Anolis sagrei: one gene and its partners. The protein of the gene in region 3 purifies or fractionates together with the protein of the main gene of each other region. This does not show direct contact. Links are inferred from orthologs where the notes say so. Each region holds a gene or a part of one and is shown on either strand. Other genes may lie near its edges.

Region 1 (10,600 bases), about 110 Mb from region 3:
AGTCCACCATGAGGATCTGGACCTTGTTGAGCAATATTTAAATAACAAGATTTGATCTCTCTCCCTTCTGGAGAAGAACATGTTTTCTTTAAAGGTTTAACTGGAACATGCATTTCATTGGCACCAACGTCAAGAAAATATTTCTTTCAATATATGGTCCACTTAATATTAAAATTTGCCTAGCCTAGGCTTCTATCATATATATATTCCCCTTTTTGTTGTATTATATATATATATTTAAATTAAAATACAATACTACAACAATTAGCTATTTTCATATAAGCTGTAGTTTCACTATTGACTTTGCAACCTCTCGACTTTATTTGTGAAATGAAAACAAACAGCTTCACAGGGCTATTATGCTGCCTAAAAGTCAGATTTCGAAGCTAATTACAATGGCCCAAATCTTGTTGAATTATAAATTAATAGATAGGTAAATGCCACAAATTTAATGAATACAATCTAGTAGGGAGCCAGAGTAGTGTAGCGCTTTGAGCGTTGGACTATGACTGGAGATTAGGGTTTAATTCCTTGCTTGGGCATGGAAATCCACTGGGAGTCATTAGAGAAGGCACACACTCTCAACCCCAGAATCTCTTGATTAAAGTCACTAACACACTCTATCTGGAGCTGCAACAGGACACAAACCAATGGCTATTAAATAATGGATGCAATCGCATACACTTAATGTCATAAATAAAAACATGAAATAAAACGCTACTGCTGTAAATGATTCCTAAAGACGTGGCGCCAAGATCGAATATTAATGGCTTTATGAAGTCCTCCTACTATGTTAAATCAATATGTGAGCATCACAAGACCCTATTGCTATAATTCAATCCTTAATAAAGGCACCACATTCTTTACTAACCATGTATTTGGCAGCTATGACTAGGTCTTTCAAACACACGGTTGCAGTGATGTCTAGCAAAGGCTGATTCTACACTGAGTGTATAATGCAGTTTGAACTGCATTATATGGCCAGTGTAGAATGCAGTTCAGTGTAGTATAAACTACATTATATGGCAGTATAGATCCAGCCACAGTTGTGGAGAGCTGTATTGAAGATGGAATCTTTTCCTTACCTCCTCACATGTTCATGTTGTGTGCTTTTGTGAGCACAGCTTGGGTGAATAGGTGATTTGCAACCAATCTGATTATTTTCTTTCTTTAAAATTTAAATTCGTATTTCTACAATGTTTGAATCATTGTAACTTTTAGGTGGTATATAAATCATACTGCACCAGTTAGCTCTTTGGGGGAAGGATGGGGGAATGACACACTATCTGTGAAGTTTAAAATGATTTGGCCAGGTTCCAATGCACTTACACTCTAATCCTAATAACAATGGTAGTTGGCTATTTAGGCTACTGCATTATCTGTGCTACTGTAATTGCCTTAGGGACTTATCACACCAACGTTTTATGACATATTATTCTGTTGGCAATCAGCTCCGGCCAGTCTTCTGAAAGTTGCTGATTGTGGATGCTCTCTATCGCACCCTTGCTGGAGCTACACAGCATATTTTTGTCATCTGCATGGATGCATCACTGCCACCTGCCTTATACCCCACCCCACTTCTTCGTGTCTAATTTTTTAAAGAATTAATAGTGTTATGATAGAACATTGCTATAATGATAGGGTGTGCTATAGATTATGACAACATAACAGGAAAAAAATCTGAATTTGGAAGAGTGTATTAGAGGAAATGAAAAATACCAGAAAAGCTATCTTCCCTGTCCAAGCACCAGAAGTAACAGGCCAGATTTCCTAGGGAATCCTTGACAAAGGGATAACCTGCCGACACTCAAACCACTAATTCACAGATAAAATACCATGAGCTATCAGCACCTGGTTACTGAGGTTGGATCTACATTGTTCTATATCCCAGGATCTGATCCCAAGTATCTGCTTATCTCAGATTATCTGACAGTGTAGACTCATATAATCCAGTTCAAAGCAATATAATCCAGTTCAAACCTAATCTAGAATCATTTCCTGGGATATATAGGGCAGTGTAGACCCAGCCTGAATTGTTTTTGGTAAAGCTCATTAATGGATTGTTTACTGGGTTTTTAGTGACTTCACAATGCAACAATGATGGTATAATAGCATGATGTGATAATGCCTTTAATGTGTCACTGTATAATTGCCTGGTAAGAAGGTCAATATACTGCCCTGTTATGCTACTGGGGAAAAGGGAGCTGGACTTTCTATTATTATTGTTTTTGTTGTTGTTGTTGTTGTTGTTGTTATTTGAAACACAACAAGATGAGTCCACAGCAGACAAGATAACTCTGCTGGCTGTTGTATTGGATCACACGTCGGACACTTCCCAAGTGTGTAGGACTGTGTGATGTATCGGTGAATAATGCGTGCAGATCCCAGTAGGGTGGCTTTCTGCAACTGGTAGATGGTAATTTTATCAGTGCCAATTGTGTTTAACTGCAGGCCAAGGTCTTTAGGCACTGTACCCAGTGTGTCAATCACCACTGGGACCACCTTTATTGGCTTGTGCCAGAGTCTTTGCAGTGTCAGCTTTTCCAGTTGTTTCTCTTCAATTCTGCTGTCACCTGAGATTGCAACATCGACAATCCATACTTCGTTTTTTAACACAATTGTGAGGTCAGGAGTATTGTGCTCCAAAATAATAATAATAATAATAATAATAATAATAATAATTATTATTATTATTACTATTATTACTATTTAGACTCTGCTTTATCTCTCCCGAAGGGGACTCAAAGTGGCTTAACATAAAAGCATTAGTACACAATTCCAAATATAAAGCTATACAAACATTAAAGCAGAATTAAATATAAACAGTATTAAACATTTACAGTTTAAAACCATTCAATGCATATTCAAATTCAAACCACAGCACCTCCTGGCTTGATCTTTAAAACCTTGATCTTTAAAACCCTGTCTGAATAAGAAGGTTTTAGCTTGCCACCAGAAGGACAGCAGGGAGGGAGCCTTTCCGGCATCCCTGGGAAGAAGAGAGTTTCAGAGTCACGGGGCAACCACCAAGAAGGAAGGCTCTCTCTCTCTCTCTCTCTCTCTCTCTCTCTCTCTCTCTCATTCCACCAACTGGGCTTGAGATGGAGGTGGGACAGAGAGAAGGGTCTCTCCTGACCATGGCTTCAGCTCTTTGGGCCAGCTGAAGTTTCTGATCACCCTTCAGAGGCACCCACACATAGAGCATGTTACCACAATGGCCAGATCTGGCTTCTCAAGGAATGGGCACAGTTGGCACACAAGTTTTAATTATGCAAAGGCCCTCCTGGCCACCGCAGATACCTGGGCCTCCATATTCAATGCCAAGTACAAGAGGGTCCCCAAACTGAGAACCCGTGTCTTCAGAGGGGAGTGTAACCCTATCCAGCACAGACTGGATCCCTATTCTCTGGTCTGCCTTCCAATTGGCCAGGAGTACCTCTGTCTTGTCTGGATTAAGTTTCAATGTTTTTGCCTCATCCAGTCCATTACCGATGACAGGCACTGGTTTAAGTTCAGGACAGCTTCCTTGGCTTTAGGTGGAAAGGAGTAGTAGAGTTGGGTGTCATCTGCATATAGGTGGCACCAAACTCCAAAATTCTGGGAGGCCTCTCCCAGCGGTTTCATATCTAGTCATAAAGCTTTTCAATATGTTCATTTACATTAAGTAAACTGGGGGGAAAAATCCAAGCTAGAAATTCAATATACACTTACAGCATTTTCTTGTATTCTTCTGGAAGATTTTCCTTGGTGTTGGACTAGGGGCCCTTCCACACAGCCATATAACCCAGAATATCAAGGCAGAAAATCCCACAATATCTGCCCAGGGCCCCTTCCACACAGCTGAATAAAATCCCACATTTTCTTCTTTGAACTGGAATATATGGCAGTGTGGACTCAGATAACCCTGTTCAAAGCAGATATTGTGGGATTTTCTGCCTTGATATTCTGGGTTATATGGCTGTGTGGAAGGGCCCTAGGACTCTGGAGACAAGGGTTTGAATCTCTTCCACTGAGCCATGGAAACCTGTGGAGTGACTAATCCACTGGGTGACTCAGCCACACACACACACACACAAAAAGGCAACAGCAAACTCCCCTTGAAAAGTCTTGCTAAGAAAACTCTGATATGCTTTCCTTCGGATCACCGTGAGTCAGCAGTGTCTTGACACACAATAGCAGCATCAAACAAAATCTTTACTAACCAAAGAATGCCACCCTGCCCTCTATTACTGTAACAGACTATTGAGGCCCCTTCTACATTGGCATATAAAACCCAAATTATCTTCTTTAAATTGGATTATATGACAGTATAAACTCATATAATCCAGTTTAAAGTAGATGACATGGATTATCTGCTATATATGGCAGTGAGGAAGGGGCCTAAGTTTGTGGATATGTCTAAAACAACAAACAAGTCTTTTCAGATCTTCTACTGACAAAGAAAATAACCTTTTCCAAAACCTGTTCTGGGGAAATGTTATTTGTCAGTCACAAGACATGTATATGATCAGATTCACAATATGCTCTGTCAAATGGGCTGAAAGGAAATTTCATTTGGGGCCTACATTTGTTTAGTCCAAATAGAATAGATTTGTTGAATCAATAGTAACACCATGTTCACTTCTATTGATTCAACAAATCTAATCTAATAAGGATTTATTAGATTGGACCTAACCCTTAGTATATGCAGAGGATCAAATTTAAGAAGTAGATTAGAGGGCCAGTTACAGCAACACCCGTTAAGCTTTTTGGTGCACTTTTTAAAAACGCACACATATACTTCTTAATAATTATGCTCAAACAGGGCAGAAATATCTGTTGTATCCATAAGCAACTTCTTTGAAAGTCAAATTATTGTGCCTTTGAGAGTAGTAGATGGGTTAATAATTAAAAAGATAGTAGCTTGTAATGTCACTATTTGGTCATGATATAAATATGCCTGATAAATCTGCAGAATCTGAACCCCATTCCAGCGTTGAATGCCTCTGCCTCGTGATTCTGACAAAATCAAACACCCGGAGATGTGCTACTTTTACTACTTTCATCCAGAAGTAGAGAACTGGCAAGATAGTATCAGTGGAATCAGGCCCGTAGCCAGGATTTTGTTGGGGGGGGGGGGGGGGGAGGACTGAATTTTTTTCAGGGGGGTTCGGGGGGGGGGGGGCTGAGTTTCGGGGGGGGGGCTGAATCTGAGTGAAAGAGGGTCTAGCCTAGCAAACCTTTTGTATCATTACCCCAATACCCCCATGCATATGGGATATATTGAGTATGGTGATCAGATCATGATATGAATAAACATAACAGTTTAAATAATGCACCAGTAAGGCCTTTTCGCGAACCACCATCAGAATTTCGGGGGGGGGGGGGCTGAACCCCCCCGAGCGCCCCCCCCCCCCCCCCCCGCTACATGCCTGAGTGGAATTATCTGATTATTTGGCAGGCTTCAAGTCCTTCTCACACTTAGCTACAATTATTTCCATGTTCAAAAAGGAAAACAGAGTTTCTCAGCAATGAGATGCAGAGAACCCTTTGTATCTGCTGGGGTTTGGTTCCAGGACCCCAAAGACACCAAACAGTCGCTTAAGCAGCTGAGGGAGAAAAGGAAGGGGCCTGAGGCTGCGAGGAATGATGGGAGTTGGAGTCACAAACACCTGGAAAGCCCAAGCTTGCCCAGGCCTGACCTACAGTCTAGATTCTTCATGGTTTGTCTATTACCGCCAATAGGCCCGCAAAGGAGGCGTCTCCCCACGCGCGGGGTCCGGATTGGGCCACTGGTGTCCGCCCCTCCTCCTCGTGGCCGGAGTTCCGGGTTTTTAAAGGGAGGGCGCCTTGGTGGAGGATCTCCTCCGTGGACCGGGCCGGGCAAATTTTGGGTCCGCGCTCTGCTCCCACTCCTTGGCCACCATGACCGACCGCTCCACCTTCGACACCAACGTGACCACGCTGACCCGCTTCGTGATGGAGGAAGGGCGCAAGGCCAAGGGCACCGGGGAGCTCACCCAGCTGCTCAACTCCCTCTGCACCGCCGTCAAGGCCATCTCCACCGCCGTGCGCAAGGCGGGCATCGCCAACCTGTGAGTGACAGACAGAGAGAGAGGAGGAGGAGCCCTTCTCTCCCCAGAGCCCCTTCCCCTCCCCTCCCCTCGTGGACACCCACAATGTTTGCCACTCTTGGTCTCTCCTGATGTACCTACACTCCAGCTTCTATCATCCTTGGCCAAGTCAGATAGTAGGAGCTTCACCTTACAGCATTCATTGGTCAACTTGGGCCTTCCGGGTGTTTTGGACTCCCACAATTCCTAACGTCCTCAAGACCAGCCACGAGGAAAGGAAGGGGCCTGAGGCTGTTAAGAATTGTGGGAGTTGAAGTCCAAAACACCCAGAGGGCCCAAGTTGGCCCATGCCTGGTGTAGATGCACCCATATGAACAGTATTGGAGATGTATTGTCGAAGGCTTTCATCACTGGAAGCACTAGGTTGTTGTGGTTTTTTAAAAGCAGAAAACCTGGGGTTTTTTTTACCTCAGGTTTTCTGCTTTAAACTGAATTATATGATTCTGCACTGCCAGATAATCTGGGATGAACAGAAAACCTGAGATCAGATCTTGGGATATAGGACCAGTCTGGAAGTGCCCTTTGAGAGTAGAGTTGTGTGGATTGGACCTACTGAGCCCCCTTCTGCTTTCCTAGAAAGAGAGTGGTGAGTAGAAGAAGGTAGTGGCTAAAGGAAGAGCATCGTTCTAGGTGACACATTGTGTCCATTCCTTTCTGCTGTAACACCAAACCCTGTCTAAGATCCCAACATCCTTGGCTCCTTCTTAAAAGGATGAGTGCCCAGTAGGAGACATTAAGGACCTAAATCTTGTTGGCTATCATAGTAGAACCATTGGATCTACTAGATTTGACTATGTGTTACCTCAATGTTCAACAGCTGAGGACAGGCTTAACAAGAGCTCAGCTGGAGTCCCCTTGTATGAAATGCTTGGCACCAAAAGTGTTTTGTTTTGGAATACTTCTATTTGCATATATATATATATGCATATTAAGATGTCTTGGAGATGAGACCCAAGGCTAAACATGAATTTGATTTTCGTTTTGTATGCACCTCATACACATAGCCTAAGGGCAATGTTACACTAGATTTTAATAGTTTTGTGCATGAAGCAAAGTTTATACTCAGTGTAACATCAGAAAATATAGAAGTCATTCTTAGCCACGTGTGTGGACAATTTCATATTGTAGAGTATTTCAAAATTGTGGACAAGGGATGCTCAGCCTGTACTTCATTTGGGACTTACCCAAAAGATTTTAATGGAGGTGGTTAATCAGTTGATTTTCCTTTTCATTGTCATTGCATTGGAACCATTTGGCTTAGGAACTTAATACTTGTGGGGGAACACATTTCTATATGTACCAATCTCAATATGAGGTTTTCTGAATGTATCTTCCCCTGTGAATCATCTCGGAGATTAAGATTGTCTGGGGAAGCCCTGCTCTCAGTCTCACCTTCTTCACAAGTGCGGTTGGTGGGGACGAGAGACAGGGCCTTCTCAATAGTGGCCCCTCAATTGTGAAACTCCCTCCCTAGTGATATCAGGGCAGCCCACTCCATCCTAGTGTTTAGAAAGAGAGTCAAAACCTGGCTCTGGAAGCAGGCGTTTGAAAAATAGAGCAGTGCCGGAATCTTAATATGGAATATTTGCATTTTGACTACAGATTAGCCTTTAGACTACGACTCTGGATGATGTGATTTATTGAAATGTATTTTATTATGCTTATTATGTTTAGATTTTTAACTCATGTTTTAACTGAGGTTGTATGTTTTAAGGCACTGTGAAGCGATTGTAAGCCGCTTTGAGTCCCCATCGGGGTAGAGAAAGGCGGGATATAAATAAGGTAAATGAATAAATAAATAAATTTCCCATCACTGAGAGCAATATATGGAGTGAAGATAGCCTTTTCAGCTGTGGCTCCTTCATTTTGAAATGTCCTCCCATTGGGCCTCCAATTGTCAGCAATACTGCTTTTATGTAGGTGCCACATTAAACATGGATATTTTATTAAAGCCTTTGGGCCTTGTTGGTGTACTTTAAACAGAATGGCCAAGGGCGTTAAACACATTGAATATAAATTAATAATTTGTCTAGCTTTATCAGAGCTAGACATACAGACCTCCTACCAGTAGGTAAGGGGGGATTCTGAAGACAGGTTTGCAGCAGTTTCCAGCTAACAATAATATAAGTATAAATGACACAAGAGACCCAATTCCGTTTTCCACATGTGTTGGAAGACTGGCCACCACTCTAGTTGGAAAATGATGGGAATTGTAGTTCAACATATCTAGAGTTGTCAAGAAACAAAAAGTGGGTTATACTTGCAGTATACATTACATTCCTATACAGTGGTCAGTCCTTCCAAATTAAATAAACCTAATTCTGAGGTAAATGGGAATAAGAGTTCAATCTTGGGCCCTTTCTACACTGCCATATAAAATCCAAATTATCTGCTTTGAACTGGATTATATGGCAGTGTAGACTCATATAATTCAGTTCAAAGCAGATAATCTGGCGGGGGTGCTTTGAATGTGATTGTCCTGCTTCTTGACAGGGGCTTGGACTGGATGGCCCATGAGGTCTCTTCCAACTCTATGAGTTGGAATTTCCTGCTTTGAAAATCTGGATTATATGCAGTGTGGAAGGGGCCTCCATCTTGTCCAGTATATATTTTTCTGTTTCTAGCTAGGAAGCATTGCGTAGTTGGCTGAAAACAGCTTTAAGGCTAAATAGAGAAGGTGATTTTTGGTATTTCAGAGCACTACAGCAAAGGGAACAGAAGCGGGTAATTTTTGATATGGTAATGCTTCCCTTTTTTGGAACAGGGTGCTGGAAACATGTTTTTTTCTGTCTTATTGAATAGAACAAAATCTCTTTTGTAATGCACATTACACTAAGAAATATTATATGCCAACATCCGCTTAAGTGTGCTTCCTCTCTCATGAGCAAGTTATGATGCAAACGTAACCGTTTATAACTCAATCTCCGTAGTAATAGCATGAAGAAACCAGTGTTGACACCATTCTTCATCTGTAGTACCTTTGTTGGGACATAGTTCTTTACCACTCTTACTCATTCAGTTATGTTGGCCCTTTCCCTCCGTGTGCCAATGTAGCTCATTTAAAGCTGAGCCAACACAGTAGCGGTCTGCATTACTGCTGATATACTATGACCCACTTATCACTTTAAGATTGTGTTGTCGAAGGCTTTCATGGCCAGAATCACTGGGTTGCTGTGAGTTTTCCAGGCTGTATGGTCATGTTCCAGAAGCATTCTGTTTCAGAAACATTGGGAGAGAATGCTTCTGGAACAAGGTCATACAGCCTGGAAAGGTCACAGCCACCCAGTTTAAGATTGGCTTAATGTGTAACTGAGACAACTCAGACTATAAGATATTTTTATGTATTCACATCAGTTCACTAGGACTCTGTATTTTAATTTTTGTAGGGATTAATCAAAACTAGGATACTGAAATATTCTAAATACAGCCAGTCCCCAAGCTATGAACAAGATTGGTTCTGCAGGTTTGTTCTTAAGTTGATTTTGTTTGTACATTGGAACAGATACCTTTAAGTGTAACTCCAGCTAAATGTGTGTGTGTGTATGGCCCCTCTGGTGGCGCAGCAGATTAAACCACAGAGCTGCTGAACTTGCTGACCAAAAGCTTGGCGGTTCAAATCCAGGGTGGCTGGAGTGAGCTCCCGCTGTTATGGCCAGCTTCTACTAACCTAGCAGTTTGAAAACATGCAAATATGAGTAGATCAATAGGTATCGCTTCTGCAGGAGGGTAATGGCTCTCCATGCAGTCATGCTGGCCACATGACCTTGGAGGTCTCTACAGACAATGCCGCTCTTCGGCTTAGAAATGGAGATGAGCACCCCCACCCCCCCAGGATTGGACACAACTAGACTCAATGTCAGGGGAAACCTTTACACACACACACACACACACAAGCTTTGGATAGCACAGGAAGGGTTAACACCCCTGTGGAGTTTGCTTTGCTACCTGTGCCCCGGTTCAGAAGATTTCCTCTCACTTTCTGTTCCTGTGATCACTGGATTTTGAAAAAAATCCTCTTGTTGTGGAAACAAGGATTGGTTAGAAAGTTTCAGTGGAGATACCTTTTCCCCATGATAACCCAGAAGTGAATTTCCCTTCCTAGAGGTAGATTTCTCTCACTTCCTGTTGTCTCACCCCTGTCCTTAACTATGAGTCATTTGTAAGTTAGATGTTTGTAACTCGGGAACTGCCTGTATGCACCCGATGGGGGACAAGTTGCATATACTGGGGATGAGTTTTCAGAGGAATCCACACGTAAGCTTTAGCCTTTGCCCGGCATTGTTGCCTTAGAGATAGGTAGTATTTACAGTTCAAGGTACATTTCATGTAGTATCAGCCAGGCCCGTAGCCAGGATTTCGTTTCGGGGGGGGGGGGGGGGGGGCTAAAAAATTTCAGGGGGGGTTTCGGGGGGGGCTGAGTTTCGGGGGGGGGTCTGAGTCTGAGTGAAAGAGGGTCTAGCCTAGCAAACCTTTTGTATCATTACCCC
Region 2 (10,176 bases), on a different chromosome or scaffold from region 3:
ATTAGCACAAAATAATACATTTTTGTGTTCAATTCTAGTGCTGAAATAGTATAAGAGTAAATAGTAAAGTATTTCTAATATTAGTATTAAGATCTAAAGTGTAATACAGTCTAAGGTGTAATATTTTGAATATTGCCTAATCATTCTAGAAATGCTGGCTTCAGTAACACTTTCTAATTAGGGTAAATTTAATATATATTTATTATGGTAATATTAACAATATCAAGAAAGCAGTCCAGGTTCTTTCTCTAGCAGGTTGTTAAATAAAAGATTGAGTCCAGGATCCTTCTCTAGCTGGTTGTTAAATAAAAGAATGAACCCATAATCTTGTATTCGGTTTTTGTTTCAAGTGTGCCAAAATGGTGTGTTTCCAAGAAATTGGAACAGTTAATATGGTAAGCTTCCCCGCTTTTAAAGAAAACATGCTTTGAAGCACTCAAAAACTGAAATTATGCATATTTAATGATTTTTCTGTTTAGTTATATAAATGCTTTAGATTTCTTACATACTACATACAGACGTTCTTTGGTTCAGACAGTCATGTCTGCCATTGGGGTGTTTAAATTATTTTGCAAGTAGTACATCATGTTTTGCCTAGCAATATTGATCTCCCCTATTAATACCAAACAGGTGGTTGTCAGCAGACCTATATGGGCCTATAACACAAAATATAACCGGAATGCCAAAATCATTTTGTTAGTCTAAGACAGCAATTCAAAATTTGAATAATTAGTGTATTGTCTCCATTAGACCGGTATATCTTTCCGTATATACCTGTCTAATTTATGCACACAAATATGATCCTGGACCACCCTGTGTCCCTCTCGGGAGAGAGGGCGGTCTAGAAATAAAGATTATTATTGTTATTATTTTCTTTTCTAAACTACAACAAATATATAGATACAAAATGAACTCCCTATGGAATTACTATGCAATTTAAAAGATCAATAGTCTAGCATGGGAACATGTAGAGTTCCCTTTTAGGCCCCATGAAATGAACATACTTCAGCTCTGATAAATGTATTTTAATACAAATTACTACTTATCAAGCATTTTAACTGAAATGAATGTGGTTATTATAAAAATAACCACATGGTTATGAAAGTATTTTCTACTTTTTTATTAGGATATATCCTTTGGAATCTCTTCTGGATCCTTTTCATTCATTGGCCATGTGATTTTAGAAGTCACAACTATGGAGATTTTACATATCATAAGAAACTTTACATACCTAGATATACAAATAGAAATTTATGCTGCACACTTACTTTTTGAATCTCATATTGTTTATACTGTCTATGTGTTATTGCTTCTAATTGATAAGCGATGTATCTGAAACACAAGTGAATGTTGGAACAGATTAGGAAGACAAGTTTTATAATGCGCCTAAGCTTATTAAGCTACGTTCACGCCTCTGTACAGTATGAATATTGTTTTCTGTTTGAAACAATGGCACAAATTAAGATCCCCATATTTGGTGATCGGTGTAAACACTGTTGACAAGACAGTGAAATACTCATTCAATTCCTTTTTGCCAGCTTAAGTTAGAATTTTCACATATTCTAACCTTTCTTAGCAATGTGAGGAAAAACAGAGTAAATATATTAAATTTGTTTCACAACAGATGCTTAGGTTGTTAATATTTAAGATGTCTCTTAATGCTATGCCTGTCTGCACATTTGTCAAAGAAAAAAGTGTAAGCTGGAGTGCTAATGTTTGCCAGCAGAGTGGAGCAGACTGTAAGTAAGAATGCACAAAACCAAAATAATAGTTGGGGGAGAAAAAATAAGTGGCAGTTTCTCAGTCATATCTTTTAGTAACACAGAATAACGATCTGTCAGATTAGAACATCATCCAATTTAACTACAGAATGCTTCACTGGGAAGTTATGCTGCTTGCCCAAGAAATTCACATTTAACCTTATTTTGGGGAGGGGACTCTCAAGTTTAAACGGATCTCTCAAATAAAATGCAAATCAGATGGTACTGATGCCAAGAATCACAGCCGGAATTCCCTTCCAACAAAGCAAAGCAATTCTCTGCCACTAAAAGAGAAACTTTTGCTCCAGCACAAGTTAGCTGTCATCGCCAAACCTGTTGAGACACACCTCTGAAAAAGGCTGGTTGAAACTAAAGTATTCTGACACAACTTCAGAAGGTACCCTCTGAAACTATTCTGGATCTATGTGGCTTTCTAAAGCTGTCAAAAGCTTTCCAAAATCAGGATTTTTTGTTAAGGGGAGGAGAAAGGGGAAGATGAGTGATCCAGTGCCTCCTTCTGGAGGGGACACTTAGGAAAAGTTCAGGTGAATAGCCAAAGGAAACTGCATTTCCTTATGGGGTGCCGTTTCAGGGACCACCCAGTGCTTAAAAGGAAGGAGGCGGGATGGAGGCTGCCCAGGGAAAGGCGGGATGCGAGGGAAAGAGAGAGGCACCTGCGAAGGTGTGAGCGAGAAGCCGCCTCCTTAAGGTCATCCGAGGGACAATTGGACACATCCCGCCCATCAAATGCCCTCAATTTTGGGAAACACGAACTCTTCCCGCCAAAAAGCGCCTCTAAATTGACCTCTCCCTTGTCTGGCGAGAGAGTGTTCACCTCGCCTTTTCAAACTCGCTCACTTTCCTGTCAGTCTTGTCAGAGTCCCCGGCCTTCCTCTCCTCTTCCTCCCGCCGCCAGCATCTCCCCTGAGTCTCCTTCCTTCCTTCCTTCCTTCCTTCCTTCCTTCCTTCCTTCCTTCCTTCCTTCCTTCCTTCCTTCCTTCCTCAGCCTCGCCTCAAAGGCCCCTGAACCTAAAACTTCCTGGCTGCGCTCCGGGAAGGCGAGACGGAGTTGAGCCCAAACTTTTCTCCCGGCGCCACGGACCTCGCTTGCCTCAACTTCCCCGCCGGCAGGTGCCTCTCGGAGGTGCCTCCGAGCCATTTCACCAAAAACCAATGTCTGTCAGAAACAAAAAAGCCACGAACTTACAAAAAACCCCAAAACCCTACGAAGACCTCGGCCCTGAAGACCTTCGCTGGTAGCTAGGGAATAGGTACATGGGGAAGTAAAGCTGCTGCCTGAATAAAGCCACATAGCTGGAATTGGTTTCACCGCGTAATAGTCGCTCCCACCCCTTTTCAGCCAAAAAAGGGGTACAAAGTGGGATGAGTGAGAAACCCCTCTGAGCCCCTCTAAAGATGAGTGAGAAGCCCCTCTAAGCCCCCCTAAAGATGAGTGAGAAACCCCTCTAGAACATGTCCATACAGCCCGAAAAAAACTAAAACAACCCTCTAAGGATTGCTGTAAGTTTTCCGGGCTATGTAGCCACGCTCCAGAAGCATTCTCTCCTGACGTTTCACCTGCATCTATGGCAAACAACCTCAGAGGTTGTGAGGTCACTCTAAGGCTTTCCCTCAGCTGAGTGTGAACTCTTCACTTTCAGAAGTAGATAGATACAAGCTCTCTCAACCCCTCAGCCCTTCCTACCCGAACTCAAGTTTGAACTCTTCACACCCAGAATTGGATACAAAACGACAACAACAACAAAAGAGCGGGAGGGGGAAAAGAAGAGGGTGTTGGAAGTGGAGGGAAAGAAGGAAAGGAAGGCAGGCAGTCAGGCAGGCGAGAAAGGACGGAGTCAGTCACTCACTCATGAGAGCGCGGCGAGGCTGGGCGACACCTTCCGCTTCCCCGGCGCCGGCGAAGTTAATTGCACTGAACTTCAAGTTGTCTTTTCAGCCATCAGGAGTGGGCGTTTAAAGGAAGGAGCGCGGAGGAAGAGGAGGAGGAGGTGGAGGAGGAGGAGGAGGAAGAGAAGAGGAAAGGAGGAGGGGGCACAGAGAGAGAGAGAGAGAGAGACAGAGAGAGAGCCTGCCACCCTCTCTCCCTCCCTCCTCTGCTCCTGAACTGCCTGGCAGGCGGCGACTGAAGAGGAGGAGGAAGGAGACGACGAGAAGGCGGCGCCCCACCGACCGACCGACCCACCGCCTGCCTCTTCCACCTTCTCTCTTTCTCTCGGCTGGCACTGAAGCCCACCAAGTGCCCGACGCGGGGCTCCTCCTTCGGCTTCCTTCCTCGATCAGGAACTCTGTTTCGCTTTCTTCTTTCTTTCTCTCTCTTTCTTTTTGTCTCTTTGCCTTCTGGCTCTTTTCTTCCCGCGGAGAAGACTGAGACGGAGTGAGGGGCGAAGAAAGGTTGGCAGGAGGAGGAGGAGGAGAGGGTTGGCTTGGCTTCCCTTCTTGCTGCTGCTGCTGTTGTTATAATTATTGTTTTTGTGCTTGTCTCCTCTGCTCTCCTCGTCCGCCGGCGTCTGCCGTTCCTTCTGCCACCCTCCCCTAGGTTTTGTTGTTGTTGTTGTTGTTGTTGTTTGTGTGGGGCTGGCTGGTGAGCGCGCCTGCTTGCCTTCCTGCCTGTTTCTCTCTCTCTTTTTCTCTCTCTCTCTTTCTGCCTTCCTCCCTCGCCGCCCCGGGGAAGGAGGAAGTCAGGTGAGACGCACTCACAGGCTGCACACACTTCCCTCCCAGTCCCCGTGCGGCGGGAAGGAGCTCATCACTGTTGGGCTTGTGTTGTTGTTGTTTTTCAACGCTATTCTCATCCCTGCCCCCTCCTCTTTCTCTTTCCCCCACCTCTCTTTTCCTCAACGCTGCTCCCCTTCTTTCCTCCCGGAGAGCAGCGCCCCTCACAGGCTCACCACCAAGGCTGCTGAGTCTCCCCTTTTTATCTCCTCCTCCTTCTCTTCCCCCCACTTTCTATCTATCTCTCTATTTATCTCTCACCCCCACCTTCTCTATTCCCCCCTCCACTCTAATATTTATACACCACATGCTTGGCTGTCAGCTGCTGCTCACTTCAAATCTAAGAAATAATGTACTGTCGAAGGCTTTCGTGGCCGGGATCACTGGGTTGCTGTCTTCTATGGCTATCTTCCAGAAGCATTCTCTCCTGACGTTTCGCCTGCATCTATGGCAGGCATCCCCAGAGGTTGAGAGATCTGTTGGAAACCAGGCAAGTGGGGTTTATGTAATGTCCAGGGTGGGAGAAAGAACTCTGCTTGAGGCAGGTGTGAATGTTGCAATTGACCACCAGCAGTGGAACTCTGTGTGGTGGAGGCTTTTAAACAGAGGGTGGATGGCCATCTGTCGGGGGTTCTTTGAATGCGATTTTCCTGCTTCTTGGCAGGGGGTTGGACTGGATGGCCCACGAGGTCTCTTCCAACTTTATGATTAGCATTTACTGGTCTTGCAGCTTCAAGGTCTGGCTGCTCCTTGCTTGGGGGAATGCTTTGTTGGGGGTGTGTGTGATTAGATGGCCCTGGTTGTTTCTTGTCTGGAATTCCCCTGTATTAAAAATAAACTCAAAAATCAAAACAGTTAATAAAGAACAATACTCAAAGTAGGAAATTACAGACAAGAAACAATCAGGGCCAGCTAACACTTTCCAACAAAGGATGCCCAGGCAGCAATCAGACAGGCTTTGAAGTTACAAGGCCATTCAGTGCTAATCAAGGGTGGACAATTGCAACATTCACACCTTCCTGAAACAGACAAGAGTTCTTTCTCCCACCCTGGACATTCCACAGATATATAAACCCCATTTTCCTAGTTTCCAACAGACCTCACAACCTCTGGGGATATGTATTTATCATATCAGACGCGAACTGGGGGTACAGTTGTACTGTATACAGTATTGGGTTTTTTTTTAAAGTTTTTAAAAACTTGGCCTTATACTAAATAATATCCTTTGACCAGTAGCTGGCCACTTGGGAGTGCCTCTGGTGTTACTTTAAGGAGGTCCTCCACAGTGGATGTGGCAGGGCTCAGGTTGCATTGTAGTAACTGGAAGCGACTTTTGAGGATGCCTGGCCTGCCATAGATGCAGGCGAAACGTCAGGAGAGAATGCTTCTGGAACATGGAAAAACTCACAACTAAGAAATAATGTTTGAGGGGTGGGAGGTAGAGGAAGAATATGACCGAGCAGGGCAGTTTTCCAAAATCTAACAAAGGTGATCAATATTTTAAGGCTCGGGAGAAGATCGGGAAGGAAGGAACGGGTTATGATCTTCCTCTCTTTCTGAAATTGTGATACATATAAAAATACCGAGAGGAAGATCATAAATATATATATGGAGGGAGGGGCCACTCTTTCGACTGCTGGATCGTGGCTTCAGAGACACAGAGAAAGAGACACACGGCGAGGAAGTGGAAAAAGGAAAGGGAAACTTCTGTGTCAGAATGCGAGCATATTGGCTCTTCTGCTCTGAAACCTGGACCGGCAACCGAGAAAGCTGGCTTCCTAGAAATCCATTGAAAGAGGGAGGGAGGAGTGCTGCCTTTAAACCTGGGATTTGGAGAGCTTTGTATCCCTGCTTGGCGTTCCCCACTAGAGTTACTTAGAAGGTATTCGGCTCTGTTGGTTCTCTGCCTTCGGGTTCATTTCCCGTTTTGGTACCTTTTAAAACCTCCCTGCAGCCTCTCAGACAGACTTTGAGACCTTTCCTGTCTTCACAGGAGCAGAGTATAGAGAAACCTGGGCAAAGTTCTTGGAAACACAATCCTTACAAACCTTTCCCAGCCCCCCAAACCTCAGGAAGCTACCTGATTGATCTGAAAGCAGGGAATTCAGTGTCAAATCCACCCTGCTCCTTTTAATTTCTGGATTATGCATGCTTCTTTCACAACAGATTTAACTATAGGCATATTTTGGCATGCAAACAATGCCCGGGCAATGATTATAAGGGCACACCTTTCTTTAATAACTGGTAATAATATACCATTTCTGAAATAATAATAATTATTAATAATACTAATTATTATTCATCAGAATGAAACCTAAGTAAAGGTTGTATTATATGTTGTTGTATGCTGACAAAAATGCCAACTTGGCAGTTCTTAGTTCAGAAAGACAAAACTTTTGGCTACATTTTAGTAACTGAAAAAATAATAATTTTAACACATTACAACTTCAGTCCACTGCTGGTTCAATCTCAGATTCCTGTCCTTTCAAAATATTCTTAATTTTTTTGCAAATCCATCAGACAGGTAGAGAATCTGTAGTCTTCCATAGACTGGACATCGTCCAACTTCCAGTCAGTATGATCAAAAGAGTGTATATCTAAGAATCAGAGTACTTTGGTACTAAGTGTATAACTTAAATAGCTTTGTAGTACTGAAGGAGTGATTCCTGATATGCATGTTGGTACTTTGAAACAACACAGTTAACTGCTCTTAAAAATCACGAGGGAGTGGTCAAAGCATTACCTGTCCCAATAATAATAATAATAATAATAATAATAAACTTTATTTGTACCCCACCACCATCTCCCCAATGGGGACTCGGGGCGGCTTACATGAGGCCAAGTCCAACAACGCAACACAATAAATAGAATACAAACATAAACAAGAACATAAACAATTACATAAAACATAAACTATAAAATACTATAACCAATATAAAATTGCAATAAAATCATTCATAACACAAAACAGTGAGTGGGCCGCATGTATAGAGTGAAATACTAAAGGTAAAAATGGGGTGAGATACCTTTACTATTTGCGAGGGGGGAACTCTTCCGAAATGGGGTCGAAAAAGGTACCTTCGTACAGGGGGGAGGTATGCACTAAGAACAAGTGTTACTGGCAATATGATACAATAACTATCTAGAAGTCATTGCAAAGCCAACACAAATGGCTGTGCCCTGGTGTTACCTGAGTTGTTATGACCAGCCTCATTATTAGGCAAATACAATAGAGTCTCGCTTATCTGACATAAACAGGAGCCCCTGGTGGCACAGTGGGTTAAACCCCTGTGCCGGCAGGAGGAAAGACCGACAGGTCACAGGTTCGAATCCGGGGAGAGGCGGATGAGCTCCCTCTATCAGCTCCAGCTCCTCATGCGGGGACATGAGAGAAGCCTCTCACAAGGATTATAAAAACATCAAATCATCCATGTGTCCCCTGGGCAACGACCTTGCAGATGGCCAATTCTCTCATACCAGAAGCGACTTGCAGTTTCTCAAGTCACTCCTGACACGACCAATAAATCTGACATAAATGGGCCAACAGAACGTCGGATAAACGAAAATGTTGAATAATATGGAGTCTCCTACTGTTAGCCATTTGATGCAGTGCTAGACACCTAGAATACTACAACAGGGACTCAAATGGTTAATGTAAGGCAATGCCTCGGGGTTAGAGTGGCCCAGCAGGAAGTGTCCAGATGTGGAAGAGGAACATGGAAATCACAGAGGGAAGGAGGAAGGATGCTTCTGCTTCCGGTCCTGCCTCTTCCTCACCCCCCTTGTCTCACCTTTTTCACTTATAGGGAATGGAGAGAGAGTTGGGAAGTGCTCCTTTAATTGAAAGAGAAATGCTGGAGGAAAAAGGATAGGAGCGTCGGATGAGACGGAATGTCGGATAAGCGAGACTGTAGAAGCAACTGCTTTAGAAGGAAAGCACTAAGGAGCAGTGAGGACAGCCCCTTAGTGTCCATTGGCTTTTCTCTTGAAAACAGCTCTGTCTCTGTCATGGAGTCTGCCTTGCTTCTCTCCCCCCACCCCGAATAGTCCATTGCCCTCTAAAATAGTGGGCACTATCCTGCAAATTAAGATTTAACAGATAACTGGTGGTGCAGTGAATTAAACCACCAAGGTGCTGAACTTGCTAACCAAAATGTTGGTGGTTTGAATCCAGGGAGTGGGGTGAGCTCCTGCTCTTAGCCCCAGCTTCTGCCAACCTAACAGAAAACATGCAAATGTGAGTAGATCAAGTGGTACCACTCCAATAGGAAGGTAATGGCGCTCGATGCAGTCATGATGACCACATGACCTAGGGGGCGTCTACGGACAACACCGGCTCTTCAGCTTAGAAATGGAGATGAGCACTACCCCCAGAGTCACACACAACTAGACTTAATATCAGGGGAAACTTTTACCTTTACTATATAAATTATGTGAATGGAGAAAGGAATGCCATCTTATCTCTTTCCTCGGTAAGCAAATTGGCTTGGGTTGAGCTTGACCACTGTGTTCTGGATCTGTTCAAGCTCAGTGAATATATTCATTTAGTAATGAGGTGAATAAATAATGGATTCCATATCTGCCTTAGTATTGAAGACTTGGCCTTCTCACCAGTTTGAGCTAGTAATGTGTTTTCTCTGAGATACTATTGCTGAGGTCGATCTAGCTGTTTCTGAAGGCTGTGTGTGTATGTGTGTCAAGGGAAACTGTATCCCTGCACAACTACTTATAGTGATATCATATAATGCATTCCAGTTGCAGGTTGCCATTTTAAACTCAGATGACATTGTCATCCCATGTCCTTCAGCTGGAAACAACATGCCAAATACTCGAATGTGATCAAACAGTAAGAGGTTATTCAATTCTGTGCAGGGACATCTAGCTAAATTTACCCACCTGTTCTGTGAGTCCTTCTGCCCTGTGTTGGCTTTTGTATGTCACAGTTCTGATATTACTTCTGCAGCATGAATGAGAGAAGAACGCCACATTGAATAAACCATGGTGAAGAATCATAGGCAGGGCCAGCCCAATATGTTTTGCTGCCAGAAGCATGCGGGCTCAGATCGGTGCCATTCTTGTACTGGCAATACTCCCAAAAGTCACAATACATAGTACCCAACTCTCTCAAAGTTATTTTGCTACCTAAGGCATTTCCTGGAAATAAAAAACATAATCAATATATTAATATGTAATAATAATCTGTTACTTGATGTGGTTACTTCACTCTGCCAAATGGTTGGGCTGGTCCTAGTCATACAGAGCTCCCCATTAAGTTTTATAGTTGCTGTCAAGAGACAAATCAAGCCAAACCAAAGGAAAGATACTGCTTTCTTATTGTATTTCAACATCAGCCCCAATGTTAAAGGAGTTTGTCCATTGAGATAATATTTGCTAATCATAAATAAAAGTCTGAGGAGAGGCAGCAGGAATTTATCTTGATCTATTCCTATTCATACAAGAAGAATAATTCATTCAAATCTTAATTATCTCCAGCATAAGAATTTGGCGTATTGTATTCCATATAATGTAGCACAGTCCTCAAAGTACTTAACTCACCCACAAGTGGATAAACCCTTCATATTATCATTTCTATTCCCATTTTTAAAATAACCTTTATACTGGGCAAAAGAAGAAATGCTACGCATTTCATACAAATGTTTACTTTCTTTACTAAACCATGACC
Region 3 (9,878 bases):
AAATTAAGTGAAAGTTTTGTTCTTTTTTCATTCCCAACTTGCAGTCTCAATGGAGCCAAAGATAATTGAGAAGAAAGTTGGACTACGTCTTCCAGACAACGAGTTGAGAATGTGCCTTTTGAAATGTAAGAAACTTGCTGGGCTGCACATAGCTGCCAATTCACCCATATTTACAAATATCTTTTCATTAGTGCCTCTCTTTTTTCCCCATAAGCCGTTCCTTTCAGTCCTCAAAACCAAAAATTACTATTTCATTTTTCTGATTTCTGCAATAAGTCCATAACGGGTTTCCAATCATGGAGATGGACCAGTCACTAATCTAATTTCTGCTAAATCAGTAGGACCCCTCCCACACAGTTGAATAAAATCTCATATTTTCTGCTTTGATCTGGAATATATGGCAATGTGGACTCAGATAACATTCTCTCCTGACGTTTCACCCACATCTATGGCAGGCATCCTCAGAGGTTGTGAGGTCTGTTGTAAACTAGGCAAGTGAGGTTTATATATCTGTGGAATAAGGTCTAGGGTGGGAGAAAGAACTCTTGTCTGTTGGAGGGAAGTGTGAATGTTGCCTCCAACAGATACAAGTTCTTTCTTCCACCCTGGACATTCCGCAGATATATAAACCTCCCTTGCTTAGTTTCCAATATACGTCACAACCTCTGAGGATGCCAACCATATATGTTGGCAAAACGTCAGGAGAGAATGCTTCTGGAACATGACCATACAGCCTAGAAAACTCACAGCAACCCAGTGATTCCGACCATGAAAGCCTTCGACAACACATCAAATATTTCATCAAAGAGGCCTCCATTTTCAGTGAGAATTTGAGCTGCAGAGGTGACACAATAGCATTGTAGCCTCAGGCCTTGTGAATCACGATTCTATCCAGCCATAGCACATTCCTGTTTAGTGAACTTGCTGCATGAAACAGATCTCAGGGAAAAAGATGAATCGGTAAAGAATAGGATGGATTTCCCCCCTCTTTGTTCTGACATTCTTGCCATTCCCATAGATCAGCAGAACCTGACTTTTGATCCAAGCACAGCAAACAAATACCTGCGGTTGTCTGATCTCGACCGGAAGGCTGCTCATCCTCAAGACTTTCAAAAAATGCCAAATGAACCTCAGAGGTTTGAGCCTTGGCAGGTGATGTGTGTCCAGAAATTCAGCCAAGGCAGTAACTACTGGGAAGTCAAGATATCGGGGCAGTCCGCCATTGTTGGCGTCGCTTATGAAAGAATCTCGAGGAAGAAATGGGGCAGGCGAAACTTCACTATTGGGCAGGACCAGCTCTCCTGGGGCCTGCATGTCCAAGAAGACTGCTATGTGGCTTGGCACAACGGTGAACCTACTAAGATCAAAGAGCCTTTGTGCAAGTTCATTGGCATGTCTTTGAACTGTGACCACGGGGTCCTGAGCTTTTACGGTGTAGATGACAACATGAAGCCCTTGCATTCATTTGACACCATCTTTTCAGACCCACTTGTCCCAATTTTTTGGCTGTGTGAAGGCACAACTATCACCCTTTGCCAAAAGGCAGAAGGCCAAGGCCAAAATGATGGGATGCCTGCAGACATACAAACAACTCTCACCACTGTGGCGAAACAAGGAGATAAGCAGACTGCTACAAAACAGTGATAGTGAATCTTTGTAGCCTTCAAGATGCCCAGGTTTGTAGTGGTCTGTGTGTTTTTCTCCTTTGTAAGATCATCCCCTGAGACATTACCAATTTCTGTCTCTTGCAACTAAAGTTGTAACTAACATGCAACTTTGAGAGTACTTACTAATCACTAAGAAACTAGACATAGAAGTTGACCTATCTTAGCCATCTGTTTCTTGATGTAACATCCTGGGGAAAATGTGGCATTCTAAAATTCTTACCTTATTTTAAGAAACTCAGCAGTGAAAGTGGATCAGGTAAGTGATTACAGGAAGCCTCCAACTTACAAACATCTTACATATGACTCCTAGTTACGAACGTATCTGTGGATGTGGGGGGGGGGGGGGGAGGTACTAGGTCGACCAGCCAGCATCGCATGTTGGGTCTTTTGCAGTGTATGTTGTGGCTCAGCCAGATGAAGATGAGGGGTTTGGAGGTTCAGGGCCTGATGGTTCTGTAGGTGAGCAAACAGACGTTGTTTTAGAGCAAGATGGTTCTGCAGCTGAGGGAATGGAATGGGTTTTGGAGCAAGATGCTGTTGCTGAGGCAAAGTGTGAGAGTGAAACTGTTTTGGAAGCCAACAGGCAAGGAGGGGAGGATAACATTAGTTCATCTGAGGAAGTAGCTGGGCTTAGAGATACCAGGCTGCTTCTGAGGGAGCAGAGATTCAGGTGCAGAAAAACCCATGAGAGAGAGAGGCAGAGGCAGGCCTCTCAAGGTCAAAGGAATGTGTTCATGTTTTGCAGTCCTTAAATTAGTGAGAGAGCTGTTAGGATTTTAGATCATGCAACGTCACTACTGGAGTGAGGAACTCCTGTCTTGTTCTTGGTTCATGCCCTAGTTCAAGACCCAAGATTTGTGATCAAGTTTTGCTTCTTGTTTTATGGGTTTACCTTTGGGTTCATGCCCATCTTCTGCTCCTGGTTTCCTGGATTAATGTTCATATTTTAAGCATTGTTTTCTGGATTTACCTGCTTTTTGGACTTGCTCCTTTATTAACACTTGGATTTTTACCCTTCTATTTGCTTAAGGTGCCTTTGGTCCTTTTTATATGTGTTTTATCAATAAACTGTTTATTGCCATGTTTGGTTCCTTGATGAGTGATGTGAGCAAGGTGAACTCCTGCTGAGGTGCAACAGTGTAAGAGATGTAGTTTTAGAAACTGCTCTCCTTCCCAATTTCTCATGTATGAGACTAGAAGATAAGACCGGTGTTTGGCAGTCACCCAGCACTTAAGACCTTGAGACATAGCTACTCTTCAGTTGTTTACTTGCTTTGTATGTGAGCCCATAGAAATACAATAAGTGAAAGTGGGCCAATAGTGAGAAAAGACAAAACTTTATAACCAATTAGAAATGTACTGTTTCAATCTGCTTCACCTCCCAGAAATCCTAACAGCTGGTAAGCTGGCTGGGATTTCTGGGAGTTGTAGGCCAAAACACCTGAGTACCTACCGGTTGAGAAGCACTAGCTTCTAATCTAGGAAATGTTTAAAACCCATAGGAGGGTCTCTCCCAGGCTTATATTCAGGAGGATGACTTTAATAATAAATGGGTACATCTAATATGAAATCAAACCGGGATTGTGGCGCAGCTGGCTGAGTGTCAGCTGCATTAAGATCACTCTGACCAAAAGGTCATGAGTTCGAAGCCAGCCCGGGTTGGAGTGGGCTTCCAACCAATTGTGTAGCCTGTTGTCGACCTTTGCAACCTGAAAGACAGTTGCATCTGCCAAGTAGGAAAATTAGGTACCACCTTGTGTGGGGAGGCTAAATTAACTAATTTACGAGGCCATAAAAAAGACTCCAGCAAAGCACTCCAGCAAAAGCATGCGGGGAATGCGGAAGTACTTCATCAGTGTCGCAGATGGACGATGAAAGCGACAGCTCCCCTGGAGGCCAGAAAAAGTTAAATAGCCTCTGTGTATGTCTGTATACGTTGAATGTCAAATTGGCATTGAATGTTTGCCATATATGTGTACATTGTAATCCGCCTTGAAAGCAGCAGTGCCGGGGCAGCAGCGGCAACAACACGACGTTCAGCCTGCAAAGGCTGAATGGCCACCTGATAGGAGTGCCTTGATTGTGCTTCTCCCTTATGGCAGGAGGTTGGATATACATCCTGCATATCAGAGATTTACATAATGATTCATAACAGTAGAAAAATTACAGTTATAAAGAAGCAACAAAAATAGTGTTATGGTTGGGGGTCACCACAACATGAGAAACTGTATTAAGGGATCATGGCATTAGGAAGGTTGAGAACCTCTGCACTACTGGCTGTTAGGTATTGTGGGAGCTGAAGTCCAAAACACAAGGCGGGCCCAAGCTGGCCCATGCCTGCTTTAAAGAAAAGCAATGACATTTAATTCTATTGTAATGTTTCACATATTTGTAGATTTGAAATTGCATTGAAATGTAAGCTGCTTTGGCCCCTTCCACACAGCTGTATAAAATCCACACTTAACTGGCTTATATGGCAGTGTGGACTCTGATAATGCAGTTCAAAGAAGATATTGTGGATTAACTGCCTTGATATTCTGGGTTATATGGCTGTTTGGAAGGGCCCTTTCAGAGCCCTATATCCCAGGATTTGATCCTAGGTTTTCTGTTTATCCCAGATTATCTGGCAGTGCAGACTCAAATGATCCAGTTTAAAGCAGAAAACCTGAGATCAGATCCTGGGATATAGGGCCTGTCTGGAAGGGCCCACAGTCTCCTTGTGAAGGCAAAAAGTGGTGTATAAATAAACATAATAATAATATTGTAGAACAGAAATCTGTTCCTGGTTTGAAATTGTTATTTTCTGTTTAATTGTGCAGCTCTTACTTTGAAAGTAGTAGTTCTCCTCTAGAAACGTTGTGTGGCTGCCACAAACTATGATGACAAGAGGTTATGGGAATTCGGCCGACAGGCTGATCAGTAAGCATATTCATGGGTTCCCTGCTGTTCTAGTAAACCTGTTACTACAACATGCTTGAAGTCAACATTTCATTTATTTGTAATTTGAAAGAAATGTTTCACAATATATAAAATAAATGTATTGTCGAAGGCTTTCATGGCTGGAATGACTGGGTTGTTGTAGGTTTTTGTAGGGCTATATGGCCATGTTCTAGAGCAGGTCCCCCCTAGGGGGTGAGAAGGGCGGGGTAGAAATGACCGAAATAAATAAATAAATAAATAAATAGATGCGGCCCTCCAGGGTCATTTACCCAGCCCTTGCTCAGGGTCAACCTACGTCTGAAACGACTTGAAAGCATGGAACAACAACAACAATCCTATCTCATCAGCCAAAAGCAAGGCCCACATTTCCCATTGAAATACGAATAAGTTTATATTTCTTAACATTGTTCCTCATTTTAATTATTGAATTGTTTTAAAGTGTTTTTTACACTACAAATAAGATATGTGCAGTGTGCATAGGAATTCATTCATTTTTTCCCAATTATAATCCTGCCCTCCAACAGTTTGAGGGACTGTAACCTGGCCCTCTGTTTAAAAAGTTTGTGGACCCCTGTTCTAGAGGCATTCTCTCCTGACGTTTCGCCTGCATCTATGGCAGGCATCCTCAGAGGTAGTGAGGTCTGTTGGAACTAGGAAAAAGGGTTTATATATCTGTGGAAAGACCAGGGTGGGACAAAGGACTCTAAATGTTTCACAATATTCCCGTGTAAACTATAGTCCGGCCCTCCAACAGTCTGTGGGACAGTGAACTGGCCCCCTTTTCAAAAGGTTTGAGGACCCCTGGAGTAGACCAACTAAGATTGGCCTCTGGGGGGATTTTAAGTCCACCCAAAAACTAATCCAAAGGCCTATACACACGGGGAACTAAAGCAGAGGAGAGGAAAAGGCAGAGCTATGACTTGATAGAGGTGTTTTTGTCCTCTTGCCTTTTATCACATCAAGCCACGGGGTGCGGTAGCTTTCCACGCAGCCTTCAGGTTAGTAGACGACTCCAGCCCTTCGAGGAAAATGTCAGATTTTTTCCTACCCGAGTCTTCAAATGCGCAGGAGATTCCGAGATTTAAACGAGCAAAAATGTGCTCTTGGAAACGATCGCTAGAGGGCGCTCGTCCGCGGAAACTTAACGGAGGTCCTGATGTCTCCGCAACTCCAGACAGACACCAGATGCGCTTTTCTCTGTGTGTCAACTTCGGCCCTCCGGGTGTTTTGGACTCCAACTCTACCGGCTGTTAGGAATTGTGAGAGTTGAAGTCCAAAACACCCGGAGGGAGAGCCGAAGTTTGCCCAAGCCTGGCTGTGGCAGAGGCAGCCTGGGGTTCCTGCGGGCGGGAAGGCGGAGGGGCGCGCGGGAGGCCCCTCCCCTCTCCTCCCCTCCGGAGGGGATCCGCCTCTTTGGCCGAGGGCTCCTGCCCGCTTGCCTTCCCTCCGCCTGGTCCTCGATGGCGGATGGCTCTCCGTCCCCAGCGGCGGCGGCGGAGGGCCCCTTCGTGTGCCCGATCTGCCTGGACGTCCTGAAGGAGCCGGTGACGGTCCCGTGCGGGCACAACTTCTGCCTGGGCTGCCTGGGCGCGCACCGGGCGGGGCAAGGGTCGGCCTCGCGCTGCCCGCTCTGCCAGGAGCCCTTCCCGCCGGGCCTGCAGCTCCGCAAGAACCACGCGCTGGCCGAGCTGCTCCTCCACCTCCGCCGCCCCCCCGCCCTGGACCCCGCGGAGGAGGAGGAGGCGAGCCAGGCGGGCTCCCCCCGTTCTCCTCCTCCTCCTCCTGCGGGGGTGCTGTGCGACTTCTGCGCGGAGGAGGAGGGCCGGGCGGCGGCGGCGCAGTCGTGCCTGGTGTGCCTGGCCTCCTTCTGCGCGGCCCACCTGCAGCCCCACCTGCGCAGCCCGGCCTTCCAGGGACACCGCCTGGTGGACCCCGCGCCGCGCCTCGAGGACCGGCTCTGCAAGCTGCACCTGCGCCCCCTCGAGGCCTTCTGCCGCAACGACGGTGCCTGCCTCTGCCTCCTCTGCAAGGCCGACCCCCAGCACCGCGGGCACCACGCCGTCGCCCTCGAGGACGAGATCCAGCGCGCCCAGGTGAAGGCAAAGAAGGAGCGGGCCAAGCAGGGCCTCTCTCTTATCAAGCGGGCAGGAGCAAACATTCCGGCCTCCCTCCAGCCCTTCCTTAGGCTGTTCGGAATGGTGGGAGTTGAAGTCCAAAACACCTGGAGGGAAGACCCAAGGCTGATAGTATGATAGCTGGGTCCGGAAGCTCCAAGCGTTACGGAGATGCCGCATCGCTCCTTCGGGAGCGCAGTTTCCGCAAGAGAGACTTCGCTCATGTAAGCCAGGCCGGAGACAGAGAATAGAGAAGGAATGGAAGAGTTCTTGCATGGTGAAACCCTTACCCTAACCCTGAACCCTACTATAACCCTAACCCAAACCCTAAACCTTACCCAAAACTTTACGCTAACCCAAACTCTAAACCTTACCCTTACCCTGAACATTACCATAAGCCTAAACCTAACCCCTTACCCAAACCCTAAATCTTACCCAAAACCTTAAGCTAACCCAAACCCTAAACCTTGCCCTAACCCTTACCCTAAGCGTCCCCTCCTTTCTATCCTTCCTTCGCTCTCCCTGCTCTCACTCCACCCCCTCTCTTCCCTTATTCACAGCCACCTTTGCAGCATCTCCGTAAGGCTCGTGGACCCAGCTATCAAAATATCACCCTCTCTCTTATTAAGCGGGCAAGGGCAAACATTCCCGCCTCCCTCCAGCCCTTCCTTAGGCTGTTTGGAATGGTGGGAGTTGAAGTCCAAAACACCTGGAGGGAAGACCCAAGGGTGATAGTATGACAGCTGGGTCCAGAAGCTCCAAGCAGTACGCACATTCCGCAACGGCAGTTGTAAATAAGGAAAGGGACCAGGTGAGGGCAGAAGAATAGAAAGGAAGGGAGGGTTAGGATAAGGTTTAGGGTTAGGATTAGGGTAAGGTTTAGGGTTTGGGTTTGGGTTTTACCATTAAAGAACTCTTACATTCCTTCTATAATATCGCGTTGCGTGAACAGCGCTCCCATAGGAGCGAAGCAGAAACAGCATAACGCTCCTAGCTTCCAGACCCAGCTATCATACTATTACCGACACTTAGTTTGCCTGTGCCACTATAAAGGGAAAGGTGATAGTATGATAGCTGGGTCCAGAAGCTCTGAGCGTTACGGAGATGCCACAAAGGTGGCTGTGAATAAGGGAAGAGAGGGGGCGGAGGGAGAGCGAAGGAAGGATAGAAAGGAGGGGATGCTTAGGGTAAGGGTTAGCTTAGGGTAAGGGTTAGGGGTTACAGTTAGGGTACGGTTTAGGGTTTGGGTTAGCATAGGGTTTGGGTTAGGGGTTAGACTTAGGCTTACGGTTAGGGTTCAGGGTTAGGGTTTCACCATGAAAGAACCCTTACATTCCTTCTATATTATCTGTCTCCAGCTTGGCTTACATGAGCTAATTCTCTCTTTTGCAAACAGTGCTCCTGAAGGAGCGATGCAGCATCTCCGTAATGCTCGGAGCTTCCGGATCCAGCTATCATACTATTACCAAGGAAATAACCTGTTACCCAGTTCTGACAGTCATTTTAGTGGATTGCTGTGAGTTTTCCAGGCTGTATGGCCATGTTCCAGAAGCATTCTCTCATGACGTTTCGCCCACGTCTATGGCAAGCATCCTGAGTAGATCAATAGTGCATCTGGGCATTTCTAGGACCTGCAGTATGTGACCCCAGGTTGGTTGGTCTATAAAATTGATATAAACATTCAAATTTTGCAGCCAACAAATCAGTGTTTGTAAAGGCTCACTCAACAGGCTGGTTTTTCTTTCTAAGGAGTTACAGCTGCAAAGCCCACTGCATATTCTTGCTAACTGTTTTGTGTCAATGGGTGGTGTTCAGGAACTTAGTGCTGTTAGCCAATCTTTCATGATCCCAACACTGTGCAAAGGGGACTCCATTGAGGGCTGGAGCCCAAAGTTTAAGAAGCAGTGTTTTGGTTGGCCAGGTTTCTGATAGTCGAACTGCAAAACTGCTGGAGGGCCAAAGTTTGGGAATCACTGGTCTATACTGTAGAAGGTTGTGTAAAACTACAGCTTCTGTGATTCCATAGCATTGAGCCATGGCAGTTGAAGTGAAGTCAGTCAAGCTGCATTCATCCTATAAGGTTGAGTCTACATCGTAGAATGAATGCAGCTTGGCCCCAGTGGTGCAGTGGGTTAAACCGCTAAGCTGCAGAACTTGCTGATCAGAAGGTTGGCAGTTCAAATCCGTGGGATGGGTTGAGCTCCCACTGTTAACCCCAGCTTCTGCTAACCTAGCAGTTTGAAAACATGGAAGTGTGGCTAAATCAATAGGTACCGCTCCGGCAGGAAGGTAATGGCACTCCATGTAGTCATTATGGCCACGTGACCTTGGAGGTGTCTACGGACAACATCGGCTCTTCGGCTTAGAAATGGAGATGAGCACCAACTCCAGGAGTTGGACACGACTAGACTTAATGTCAAGGGGAAACCTTTACCTCTACACTGTTAGATGTTCCCAAAGCATCCTCCCCAAATGCCTGGCATTTCCTATTCTAGAAGCAGCCAGGAAGAAATTTGGAGCTTTGCATATTTATGGTCAGGTTCACAGTTTTCTGGCTAGAATGCAACATTATATTTCATAAATACTTGTTTACATTCTAGCCTGCTCCTACAACTTTGTATCTGTGTTTCAACACAAGTGGTTTTAACATTATTCTGTCCCTGCATCTGGAGAAATAGATTGCTATCCATGAAAACTCATGCTAAAATTCATTAACTGGCAGAGTGATGCTGGACCCCCCCCCCCCTTTCTCCCTGTTATTCAGGACTTGGAAATGTTACCTCTGTTGGATTTTGGAAGTTGCAGTTCAAAGAGTAACTTTTCCAAGCTTGGGAGAAATTACATGCCTGCAACTGGAGTCTGAGAATGAATCAGGGCTTTGTGGCAGAGCTGTGGGCCAAATCCATGACTTAGAGCGCTGAGTTTCAAATGGGTGGAGGAGCCTGCAAAAGTGATTATAGCAAAAGTCAGTCTTGACTACTCAGAAACAAGTTCTGATGAAATCAGTGAGGCTGATTTCCTGACAAGATTGTGAGCAGTACTGGGAAAAGGGATAGTATTGCTCTCCCCCCCCCCCCCCCCTTACACTTTCTCCATAGAAGCCAACAGGGGACAATATGTTGTTGTTGTTGGGTACCTTCAAGTTGTTTTCCCACTC

What was found.
Region 1: the proteins of TRIM47 (region 3) and fructose-1,6-bisphosphatase 1-like purify together in Homo sapiens (affinity purification with western blotting; 3 studies listed by BioGRID). This does not show direct contact. The link is inferred for Anolis sagrei from reciprocal best matches to the Homo sapiens genes TRIM47 and FBP1.
Region 2: the proteins of TRIM47 (region 3) and SATB1 purify together in Homo sapiens (affinity purification with mass spectrometry; 4 studies listed by BioGRID and IntAct, with this or other methods). This does not show direct contact. The link is inferred for Anolis sagrei from reciprocal best matches to the Homo sapiens genes TRIM47 and SATB1.

Annotation. Positions count from the first base shown.
Region 1 is NC_090022.1:230,377,283-230,387,882, reverse strand, and holds the start of fructose-1,6-bisphosphatase 1-like, read left to right. Parts: upstream 1-5,822; 5' UTR 5,823-5,904; coding exon 5,905-6,074; intron 6,075-10,600. UniProt on the Homo sapiens protein: Catalyzes the hydrolysis of fructose 1,6-bisphosphate to fructose 6-phosphate in the presence of divalent cations, acting as a rate-limiting enzyme in gluconeogenesis. Plays a role in regulating glucose sensing and insulin secretion of pancreatic beta-cells.
Region 2 is NC_090026.1:87,917,487-87,927,662, reverse strand, and holds the start of SATB1 (DNA-binding protein SATB1), read right to left. Parts: upstream 4,557-10,176; 5' UTR 3,633-4,556; coding exon of another isoform or gene 3,629-3,632; intron 1,333-3,628; 5' UTR 1,269-1,332; intron 1-1,268. UniProt on the Homo sapiens protein: Crucial silencing factor contributing to the initiation of X inactivation mediated by Xist RNA that occurs during embryogenesis and in lymphoma.
Region 3 is NC_090022.1:118,482,762-118,492,639, reverse strand, and holds the start of TRIM47 (E3 ubiquitin-protein ligase TRIM47), read left to right. Parts: upstream 1-5,993; 5' UTR 5,994-6,067; coding exon 6,068-6,700; intron 6,701-9,878. Other genes in the region: E3 ubiquitin-protein ligase TRIM65, read left to right, coding at 45-125, 1,019-1,644. UniProt on the Homo sapiens protein: E3 ubiquitin-protein ligase that mediates the ubiquitination and proteasomal degradation of CYLD.